3 linked regions of the Rattus norvegicus genome follow. The protein of the gene in region 1 purifies or fractionates together with the protein of each later gene. This does not show direct contact. Links are inferred from orthologs where the notes say so. Each region holds a gene or a part of one and is shown in the gene's direction. Other genes may lie near its edges.

Region 1 (2,641 bases):
GTCCCAGGTAACAGGTCGGAAAGCAGATGTCATTAAGGCTGCTCACTTATGTGCCGAAGCTGCTTTACGACTGGTCAAACCTGGAAACCAGGTATAGTGCTTCCTTGTAATGCCAAAGCTTGACAGGAAAGGTGAAGTGGGCATCTGTAAACAGCAGTTGACTGAGTGCCTGCCATCCATGCAAGGCACAGCACAGAGGGTGTAATTTCTTCTTGTGGAACCCATAAAGGCCATTTTTAGATGTGTGTGTGTGTGTCCATATTTTTTATTATATATAAGTACACTGTTGCTGTCTTCAGACACACCAGAGGGCATCAGATCCCATTACATACGGTTGTGAGCCACCATGTGGTTGCTGGGATTTGAACTCAGGACCTCGGGAAGAGCAGTCGGTGCTCTTAACCACTGAGCCATCTCTCCAGCCCTGAAACACGAGGTTTTACAGTTGTGTGTGAGTGCTGGGTGTGGTGGTATATGCCTTTGCATTTGTTCTTCCTTTTTGTGTGCTTTCTCGTGTGCTAAATGCTCACACTGCACTCAGTTGGTATTCATTCTCCTGATTAAGAAAGTCCCTAGCTGGGGGTTGGGGATTTATTTAGCTCAGTGGTAGAGTGCTTGCCTCGCAAGCGCAAGGCCCTGGGTTCGGTCCCCAGCTCTGAAAAAAAGAAGAAAAATAAAAGTCCCTAGCCTGTACTAAGTTAGGCTAGTTCCTATTTTTCCGTTTGAATTTTTTTTTTTTTAAATTGGCTGTTTGCATCATGGTCAGTCCATAGCTGTTGGATCAGACACAGTCTATGAGCTCGATATTTAAAAGTCATCTCTTCCTCCCTAGTGATCCCATCCTCCTCCCTGGATCACCATATGTGATCCTCATCTGTAAACTAGGAAAAGTGTCAGAGGGACTCATAGCTTGGATGAAGAGGAAGATGTCTCCATGGGTAAAGGCCCTCGTACTCTGCCTGCTGACCTACCTGATACAAAATAAGAACTGTCTCTTAGAACTCACATCTATTAGTGATAAATGCATGCACACAAACACTAAGTTTATTTTCTTGTGCTTGTCTTGAAACAGCTCTTATTTTGTGTATGCCAGGCTGGCCTTGAACTCGGATCCTCCTGCCTCTGCTGCCCAAGTTCTGGGAGTAAAGGCATGTCTGCTTTGCCTGGCACAAGTTTTTTTTTTTTTTTTTGTTTTTTGTTTTTTTGATTTTTTTTTTCCCCAAATGTCAAGGCCAATGATTCTCACACAACCCCATCTTTTCTACAAACAAACTTATATCCCAGCACTCGAGAGGCATCTGACCAGGCATCTAAGGCAGGCCTTTATAGGTTCCACAGGAAGAACTTACATTCCTAGCAGTCTCATTGGAAAATGTGGGGTTACAGCAAGGTTTCTCCCCTAAATACTTGCTTATCTTTGGACAAATCAGCTAGTTTTTTTGAGTCTGTTTTCCTGTCCTCTGGATTGGGGTGTAGATCTGCTCCGTTCTTGAAGAGGTGTCGATTTGGATCGTGCTTATGAAAGCAGGTTTTTGTGGGTTGAGATCAGGTTTCTTTCCTCCTTGTAGCCCTAGCTGTTCAGGACTCGCTCTATAGACCAAGCTGGCCTTGAACCTCAGAGATCCTCCTACCTCTGCTTCCCCAGTGCTAGGAATGAAGGCGCCACCCTCCCCTGGATATAAGTCTGTAGCAATGATGGGTGAAGGAGAGTCATTGGTGAGGGATGTTAGAAAGTTGGTTGTGAGGAGAGGCTGGAGAGCAGACATAGCCTCACCTCCTTGTGCTTGTGCTTGTACTTGTAGAACACACAAGTGACAGAAGCCTGGAACAAAGTCGCTCATTCATTTAACTGCACGCCAATAGAAGGTGAGACGATAACAGTGCCAAAGGTCTGCCTGTGATGAGTGCTGATAAGTGCTGTAGGATTAAGACCCGTCCTGATTCTGCCTGTTTTCCATAGTCGGTATAATTGAGCCATCAAACTGCTTACATGGGTAGTTTTGGAAGCCATCAGGGGGCCCTATCCCCCCATCCCGGCACCACAAGTTCTGTCCTGTCTGCAGGTATGCTGTCACACCAGTTGAAGCAGCATGTGATTGATGGAGAGAAAACCATTATCCAGAATCCTACAGACCAGCAGAAGTGAGTCCCAACTCCACATCCCTCTCCAGACTACTATGGGTTCCTATAGGTGTTTGATGTTGGGTTTTTTGTTGTGTTTTTTTTTTTTTAATTTATTTTATTTATTCCATGTATGTAAGTACATTGTCGCTGTCCTCAGACACACCTGAAGGGGACATCGGATCCCATTATGGATGGTTGTGAGTCACCATGTGGTTGCTGGGAATTGAACTCAGGACCTCTGGAAGAGCAGTCAATGCTCTTAACCGCTGAGCCATCTCTCCAGCCCTTTTTAAAATGATCTTAATTATATCTGTGCCTGCCTGCTCCTCGAGCTGAAGTTAAAGGCAATGGCAAACCCACCTGGTTCTAGTGCTGAGAACCAAACTCAGGTCCTGTAAAGAGGAGTGTGTCCCCTGAATTACTGAACTGTCTTTGCCTCTAGGGGAGCGGGTGGGTGTCACTGTGTAGTGGTCCTGACTGGCCTGGAACTGGCCTTCTGATGCTGAGGTTGCAGGCT
Region 2 (3,657 bases), on another chromosome or scaffold:
GTATACTTGTAGAGGTCAAATAATTGTCAGGAGTTATTATTATAGGAGTTGGCCTATCAAGTTTGATTTTATCCTATCCTAACTTTGAAGCATCTCTCCCAACCCCTTTTTTAAATATGAGTACACTGTTGTCACTGTCTTCAGACAGTCTTAAGAGGGTATCAGATCCCATCACAGATGCTTGTGACTTGATTTTTTTTAAAGGATGACCTACTTGGTTCTCTGAGACTAGCTAGGAAGAATTACTACAATGCATCAATTTATATTAGCAACTTCTCTGTTTTATCTATAAAAGGAATTGTAAGGATAATAGAAATCCTTGTAATTACTATTTGTTAAGAACTGTACTAACAATTTTAAAAACTTTTCCAGGGTCAAGAGTCCTTCAAAAAACAGGAAAAAACTCCCAAAACACCCAAAGGACCTAGCTCTGTAGAAGACATTAAGGCAAAAATGCAAGCAAGTATAGAAAAAGTGAGTAAAAATTACCTTTAAATAGATTCGTCTTTCTCCCACTTTAAATTGTACTAATATGGGAATTCAGGTTAAAAAGTAGATTATAACAATAATCCTGTGCACTCAAAATTTGGAAGGGTGCACTCCAATCTTACAATGTCCTTTCTGGGGTTATGCTGTAGAACCAGCAGAGGGCGCTTGGTTTTCAGTAAAACTAAAAACAGCTGGAAAAGTAAGACACGAGTGTTTGGCTGCCTGAGATTATAGCTAAGGTGAAAAGGATCACCTTTAAGTATTTCACAACAATTTGAGTTATTTCTGTGCCTTCTGTACCAAAGCACACTCAGTCCATGACCTGAAATTTATGTGTGGCTACTAATAGGCTTTCATCTAGTCTTAGGTAGAATTTCTTTCTTGGCCATTTGGCTGGAACTAATACATTATTATATAAAGCATGTTTGTGTAGAAAATTGAATAATACACATGATTATTGGAAAATTAAAGATTCTCCATTATGATTCCAACATACTGAGTATACATGTGAAATGATAAGGAAATTGCCCAGTCCTGTCCTGGCCTCACATGGCTTCAGAAGTTTCTTCCTTTGCAACCACGAACGGATTGGAATTTAGCACTTGGCCAGCACATATATTTCTTATTTAAACTGTAAACTTAAGTTTCCTGGTGTTGCTGATTTATTTTTTATCCCTTGCATACACTGCTAAAATGATGCCCCTCCCCCCCATTTTAATGTGGTCCTATCTCCTTGGTTTAATTGCAGGCGCATTGAACATTCCTGGGCACTACTGGTAAATTAAGCCCAAAGATGGGGAAAGAGGAAAAGGAGAAACAAATATAGTACCATCAACAATCCAGACTGAAGTCTTCTATTTTAATCTCAATCCCCTTTCCTGATTGGCCATCCATTCCCCCTTGCAGGCTGGAAGCAATCGTTTTCCTAAAGCATTTTTCTTTTTCACTCGTGTGATGCAGAAAACTTGACTGCTTTTCTATACCACTTGTGCATATGCCTTAACTCTGACCATGTTTTAATTTTAACCTTTGTATCCTTAGCTGCTCGAAATAAATTTTTGAATGAACCAATAAGGATGTATGTGACAATATTTTTAAATTGTAGTGAATTATCTTCTAGGTGATGGAGGCAATTTAAGTACTCAAGATGAATCTGGAATTTGGAAGCCTTAGACTTGCTAAGTGCATAAAAATGGAAAAAACCTAAAATTTATAGAGAAGTGGACTTTATTTAGAATAGGGATAAATCTCTGTAGTGATAACTTTATGCTGGTTACAGTTGTACCTAGCTTGTAAGAGTTTTGGTGGCAAAACTGACATTGCTGATACTGTGATTCACTGCCTATATTCATAATTGGAAACATGCCAGGTCGGTGCAACAGTGAGGGTAGCATTTTAGAACCCTTTGATTGTGTGCTTTTTGGAACACTTTTATAAACAGTTTTGATTTAATTTGGTTTTTTGGTGGTAGGTGATGACACTAACTTATTATAATAGGCACCAAATTGCTGTATTTGCATGCTGGTAGAACCATACAGTTTTAAACTGGCAGTTTGGAAGGAATTGGACTTTAAGCAGTGAAAAACCATTCTTTCTGAGGTTTGGTCCTCGATGTTTTGTTTTTTTTTTTTTTTAATCAAATGGTAGTGTTGAGGGATAGTTTGTGTAATGGCATGCAAGTCTTTGGAAGTTTTCTAATTGTGTCTCACTTCTGTGCTTGTCCTTAATAATTAATGCTTTCTTCCTCAATAGGGTGGTTCTCTTCCCAAAGTGGAAGCCAAGTTCATTAATTATGTGAAGAATTGTTTCCGGATGACTGACCAGGAGGTAACTGAATTTTCTGTGGACATGACCAAATCTAAAATTTTCATTGTGATTTATTATGACTCTTACTTTTAGACTCTTAAGTTATTGGCTTCTTGTAAAAGGTTCCTAACCACAGACAGTACTTAAATACATGGAAAGAATTTAATTGGCAGACTGAGCAAATAATTTTTAGTGCACATTTTTTCCCCAGCTTTTTAAATAGTTGGTCAATTATCTCTTGGTTACTGAACTTAGTTTTACTCTTGGTAGTGTGTTGGCTAAGGAAATAGGCTGTGGCTTTTTATTTGCTCCATTTGGCTGCTTTACACAGTCTGATATTTGCTCTCTTGGGAGTGGTAGTGTCTTCTCCAGATAGTGAAGGGGGGGAGAACAATATTGGTAAAATCAAACTAGGATAGGTTAAAAAGCCTCATGCATGTGAGATAAATGGTATGGTTTATTGTGGTGGAGTCACTTGGGCCATGCAAGGGTGTGAATTTAAATTTTCTATTAGTTGTAAATAGGAAATATGGGTTTTGTTAGACCTTCTGTATGAACAGTTGATTTAAAGGGTTTCATCAGTCTGAGCTATAGGTGTCTATCCAAACTTCATTAAGAACAGGTTATGTCCCTTTGGGTTTCTCCAGGTTGTGTTCTTTTGCTTTGTAATACTTGCCTGGACTTTACTGTAAACTCAAATTCTGAGTCCCTAAATAGGGTTGACCCACACAGACAGGAGGCAGCATTGGCCATAAAGTCATGGCTAAGCCATTTAGTTAGGAGTCTCATTCATGGCTATGTTTGAGTTAAAATTCTGCATTTTCTCTTTATATGATGAAAACATTAACTTTAATTTTATAAAGTTAACATTTCTTTACCATTTTTCCTTTTTACAGGCTATTCAAGATCTCTGGCAGTGGAGGAAGTCTCTTTAAGAAAATGGTTTAAACAGTTTGAAATAATTCTGTCTTCATTTCTGTAATAGTTGCTATCTGGCTGTCCTTTTTATAATGCAAAGTGAGAACTTTCCCTACTGTGTTTGATAAATGTTGTCCAGGTTCAATTGCCAAGAATGTGTTGTCTAAAATGCCTGTTTAGTTTTCAAGGATGGAACTCCGCCCTTTACTTGGTTTTAAGTATGTATGGAATGTTATGATAGGACATAGTAGTAGTGGTGGTCAGATGTGGAAATGGTAGGGAGACAAATATACATGTGAAATAAACTCAGTATTTTAATAAAGTAGCACTGTTTCTATTTGCTTATTTAATGGTTTCATACTTCATCGGTGCCCTCATCCCAGTTAAGTATTCCTACTATCCCCTCAGTTATTTCTGAGCAGTCATTCCCATCCATGTAAGTCT
Region 3 (3,169 bases), on another chromosome or scaffold:
ATGAAGAGGAGGAGGAGGAAGATGGTGAGTTAGAGCTTAGGATATTGAGTACTGCATGTACACTCCCTGACCATCATGGTTGGATTAAAAACTCATATTTTATGCTTTTAATTCTTTCCATAACTTAATGGGTTTTTATTTCCTTTTCAAGGTTTTCCTTTTTTAAGTATTTGTAGTGTTTATGTTGTCTGGATTGGTAGCAAATGCATTTGCCTACTGAGCCATCTTTCTTTCAGACTCTGAGGAAGAAGTTATGGAGATCACACCAGCCAAAGGAAAGAAAACTCCTGCAAAAGTTGTTCCTGTGAAAGCCAAGAGTGTGGCCGAGGAGGAGGAAGATGATGAGGATGATGAAGATGAAGAGGAGGATGAAGATGAAGAAGATGAAGAGGACGATGAAGATGAGGATGAGGAAGAAGAGGAAGGTAACCAGATTAACTTATAAAGTATGCTGACTTAAGTAATGCTTATTAATGGAAATGCTAAAAAGTCTGTGTACTCATGAATGACATTTTAAAACATGCAGAACCTGTTAAAGCAGCACCTGGAAAACGGAAGAAGGAGATGACCAAGCAGAAAGAAGCCCCTGAAGCCAAGAAACAGAAAATAGAAGGTAAGCCTGCAAAATTGGGACTTAAAAGGAGATCAGAGTAGCAATAGCACAAGTGATGACTAACAAAGGGACTTAATACTGAAACATCTGGGATTGAAATGCAGTATGCTGATGTGCTTTATAGTTTATGATGAAATTCACTTGTCGTATGCTTAAGTGGACTAAAAAAGCTCATTTTTTGTGCAGGCTCAGAACCAACTACACCTTTCAACCTGTTCATTGGAAACCTTAATCCAAACAAGTCTGTTGCTGAATTAAAAGTTGCCATCAGTGAACTTTTTGCTAAAAATGATCTTGCTGCTGTGGATGTCAGAACTGGTACAAATAGGTATGTTTTTCATTAAATGGTTTGTGTGTATCAGCTAGTATTTTTACCTTCCAGTTGTGTTCTTCCACGCCCTTAAATACTGGGATAGATAAGGCACTACAGTAATAAAGAGGTTAGATAGTAATGAACTAAATCATCAAATTATAGGACCTGCAATTTGAAGTCCTGTGTTTGACTTGGGGGTGTCAAATAGCAATTTTAAGAATTTTACATTTTGGGTAATTTTGCACTTTGGGTCTGCATAGTCACAGCAAATGCTTTTAGCTAAAAGGATTCTCAGTACTTACCAGGGTCCATGCCAGCTACTGCTGTTACAGTATGATGAATGAAGAAACCAAGGACATGGACTCGATTTTATGGGATATAAGAATGATCTGGTTTTATTTTGTTAGTGTTGTACATGCTGCCTGTGTTCGTACCACACGGTACAGGTGTAGATCACCTCATGCCTATAATCTTGTTTTTTACTTTTTTCAAGGAAATTTGGTTATGTTGATTTTGAGTCTGCTGAAGACCTAGAAAAGGCCCTGGAGCTCACTGGTTTAAAAGTGTTTGGCAATGAAATTAAACTAGAAAAACCAAAAGGAAGAGATAGTAAGAAAGGTATGTAAAAGAGTCTGGGTAACTCGGCACTAATGCTTAGGAGATAGTCTTGTCCCCCTTTCTCCCTTAGTTTCATCCTCATTGTGAACCAGTGAAATGATGTGGATCATGTGATGACTGACAGATTTGATTCCTGGGATATGTCAGGGCTGGCAGGATGGTTAGTTGAGTAAAGATGCTAGGTACAAAATTTGATCTCTACAAGCCACATGAAGAAGGGAAGAAACAGCGTGTTTCAGTGTACTAGTGCACATCCAGCACTCAGGAGGCAGAGGCAGGGGGATCTGAGTTTTGAGGCCAAAAAACAAAGCAATTCTAGGACAGCCAGGACTATTAACGCTTTCAAAAACTCCCAAGTTGTCATCTGCCTACATGTGTGTCATGGCATGCTTGAGGCTTACATATCTCTTGAAATGAATTCTTGTTCTCTATTTTAAGTTTGAGAATGTGGACTTTGAAGTGTTTTCTTATTTATACAATGTAATACATACAGTCTAGGGGAAATATATACATGTAAACAAGTAAGAGGTGAGCCTCATCTGAAACTGGACAGAAGTTTGAGTCACCAGGTAGGTAGGTGACTAAGTGCTGACGATTGGACATGGGTCCTCTTTGTGCAAAAGGCTAGTAACCATTGAGCCACCTCTCCATCCCCCTTTTTTTAAAGCACAGATTCTTATCCTTTATAGGAGCTATTTGCTTTATTCTCTTGTGACTTCTAAAATGATGTTCTTAAATCTTGTTTCAATATAGTTCGAGCTGCAAGAACACTTTTAGCCAAAAACCTCTCTTTCAACATCACTGAGGATGAATTAAAAGAAGTGTTTGAAGATGCTGTGGAGATCAGATTAGTCAGCCAGGATGGGAGAAGTAAAGGGTATGTTTTGTTCCTTTGAATGTTAAGTTTTATTAGCAGAATTTGAGTTTGTTGTTATCTTCTCCTACCCTCCCCTTAATAATCTCAAGTAGTTTTCATAACCAGAAAAAAAAAAACAGAATACCTGGTCCTTTGGCCTCCATCTCCCAAGTTCTGAAATTAAAAATGTTCAACTATTGGGTCTTGAAGCTGTGATAAATTTTACAGCTGGCCTCAATCCAAATCGCATCTTTGGCCACCAGTACTATCCTTGCCTATTATATGAGATAAACGTGATTCTAGGCAGTTCAGTCTATTATTGTATCTGCTTTTTCTCCTCCTTACATAGGTGGCCAGCTTCAAGAATGATTTCAGAGGAGCTAATACAGTAAAAGAACAGTAAAAGCTGTTTGGTCATAACCACCTGTTTCAGTCACATGCGACTTAAGTCCTTATATCATAATATGCTTGAGTGACATTTTGTCTAATGTATTAAGTGAATTGTGCGTATAAACTCTTAATCTCTTTTAGGATTGCTTATATTGAATTTAAGTCTGAGGCTGATGCAGAGAAAAACTTGGAAGAAAAGCAGGGGGCAGAAATTGATGGACGGTCTGTTTCACTCTACTACACTGGAGAGAAAGGACAAAGGCAAGAGAGAACTGGAAAGAATAGCACTTGGAGTGGTAAGTTAAGGTTTAATTGTATAGTGGGGGTGGGAATCATTTGCATCTTTGCTTCTATGTTTAGCTAGAATTAATTTACCTTT

What was found.
Region 2: the proteins of Pa2g4 (region 1) and Npm1 purify together in Homo sapiens (affinity purification with mass spectrometry; 4 studies listed by BioGRID and IntAct, with this or other methods). This does not show direct contact. The link is inferred for Rattus norvegicus from reciprocal best matches to the Homo sapiens genes PA2G4 and NPM1.
Region 3: the proteins of Pa2g4 (region 1) and Ncl purify together in Homo sapiens (affinity purification with mass spectrometry; 3 studies listed by BioGRID and IntAct, with this or other methods). This does not show direct contact. The link is inferred for Rattus norvegicus from reciprocal best matches to the Homo sapiens genes PA2G4 and NCL.

The regions. Positions count from the first base shown.
Region 1 is NC_086025.1:1,571,203-1,573,843, reverse strand, and holds part of Pa2g4 (proliferation-associated protein 2G4), read left to right. Parts: coding exon 1-91; intron 92-1,802; coding exon 1,803-1,866; intron 1,867-2,063; coding exon 2,064-2,142; intron 2,143-2,641. UniProt on the Homo sapiens protein: May play a role in a ERBB3-regulated signal transduction pathway. Seems be involved in growth regulation. Acts a corepressor of the androgen receptor (AR) and is regulated by the ERBB3 ligand neuregulin-1/heregulin (HRG).
Region 2 is NC_086028.1:18,245,620-18,249,276, reverse strand, and holds the end of Npm1 (nucleophosmin), read left to right. Parts: intron 1-372; coding exon 373-474; intron 475-1,237; coding exon of another isoform or gene 1,238-1,246; exon of another isoform or gene 1,247-1,560; intron 1,561-2,241; coding exon 2,242-2,316; intron 2,317-3,191; coding exon 3,192-3,230; 3' UTR 3,231-3,538; downstream 3,539-3,657. UniProt on the Homo sapiens protein: Involved in diverse cellular processes such as ribosome biogenesis, centrosome duplication, protein chaperoning, histone assembly, cell proliferation, and regulation of tumor suppressors p53/TP53 and ARF.
Region 3 is NC_086027.1:94,450,047-94,453,215, reverse strand, and holds part of Ncl (nucleolin), read left to right. Parts: coding exon 1-24; intron 25-236; coding exon 237-425; intron 426-526; coding exon 527-613; intron 614-658; exon of another isoform or gene 659-730; intron 731-799; coding exon 800-941; intron 942-1,419; coding exon 1,420-1,544; intron 1,545-2,297; coding exon 2,298-2,421; intron 2,422-2,931; coding exon 2,932-3,086; intron 3,087-3,169. UniProt on the Homo sapiens protein: Nucleolin is the major nucleolar protein of growing eukaryotic cells. It is found associated with intranucleolar chromatin and pre-ribosomal particles. It induces chromatin decondensation by binding to histone H1.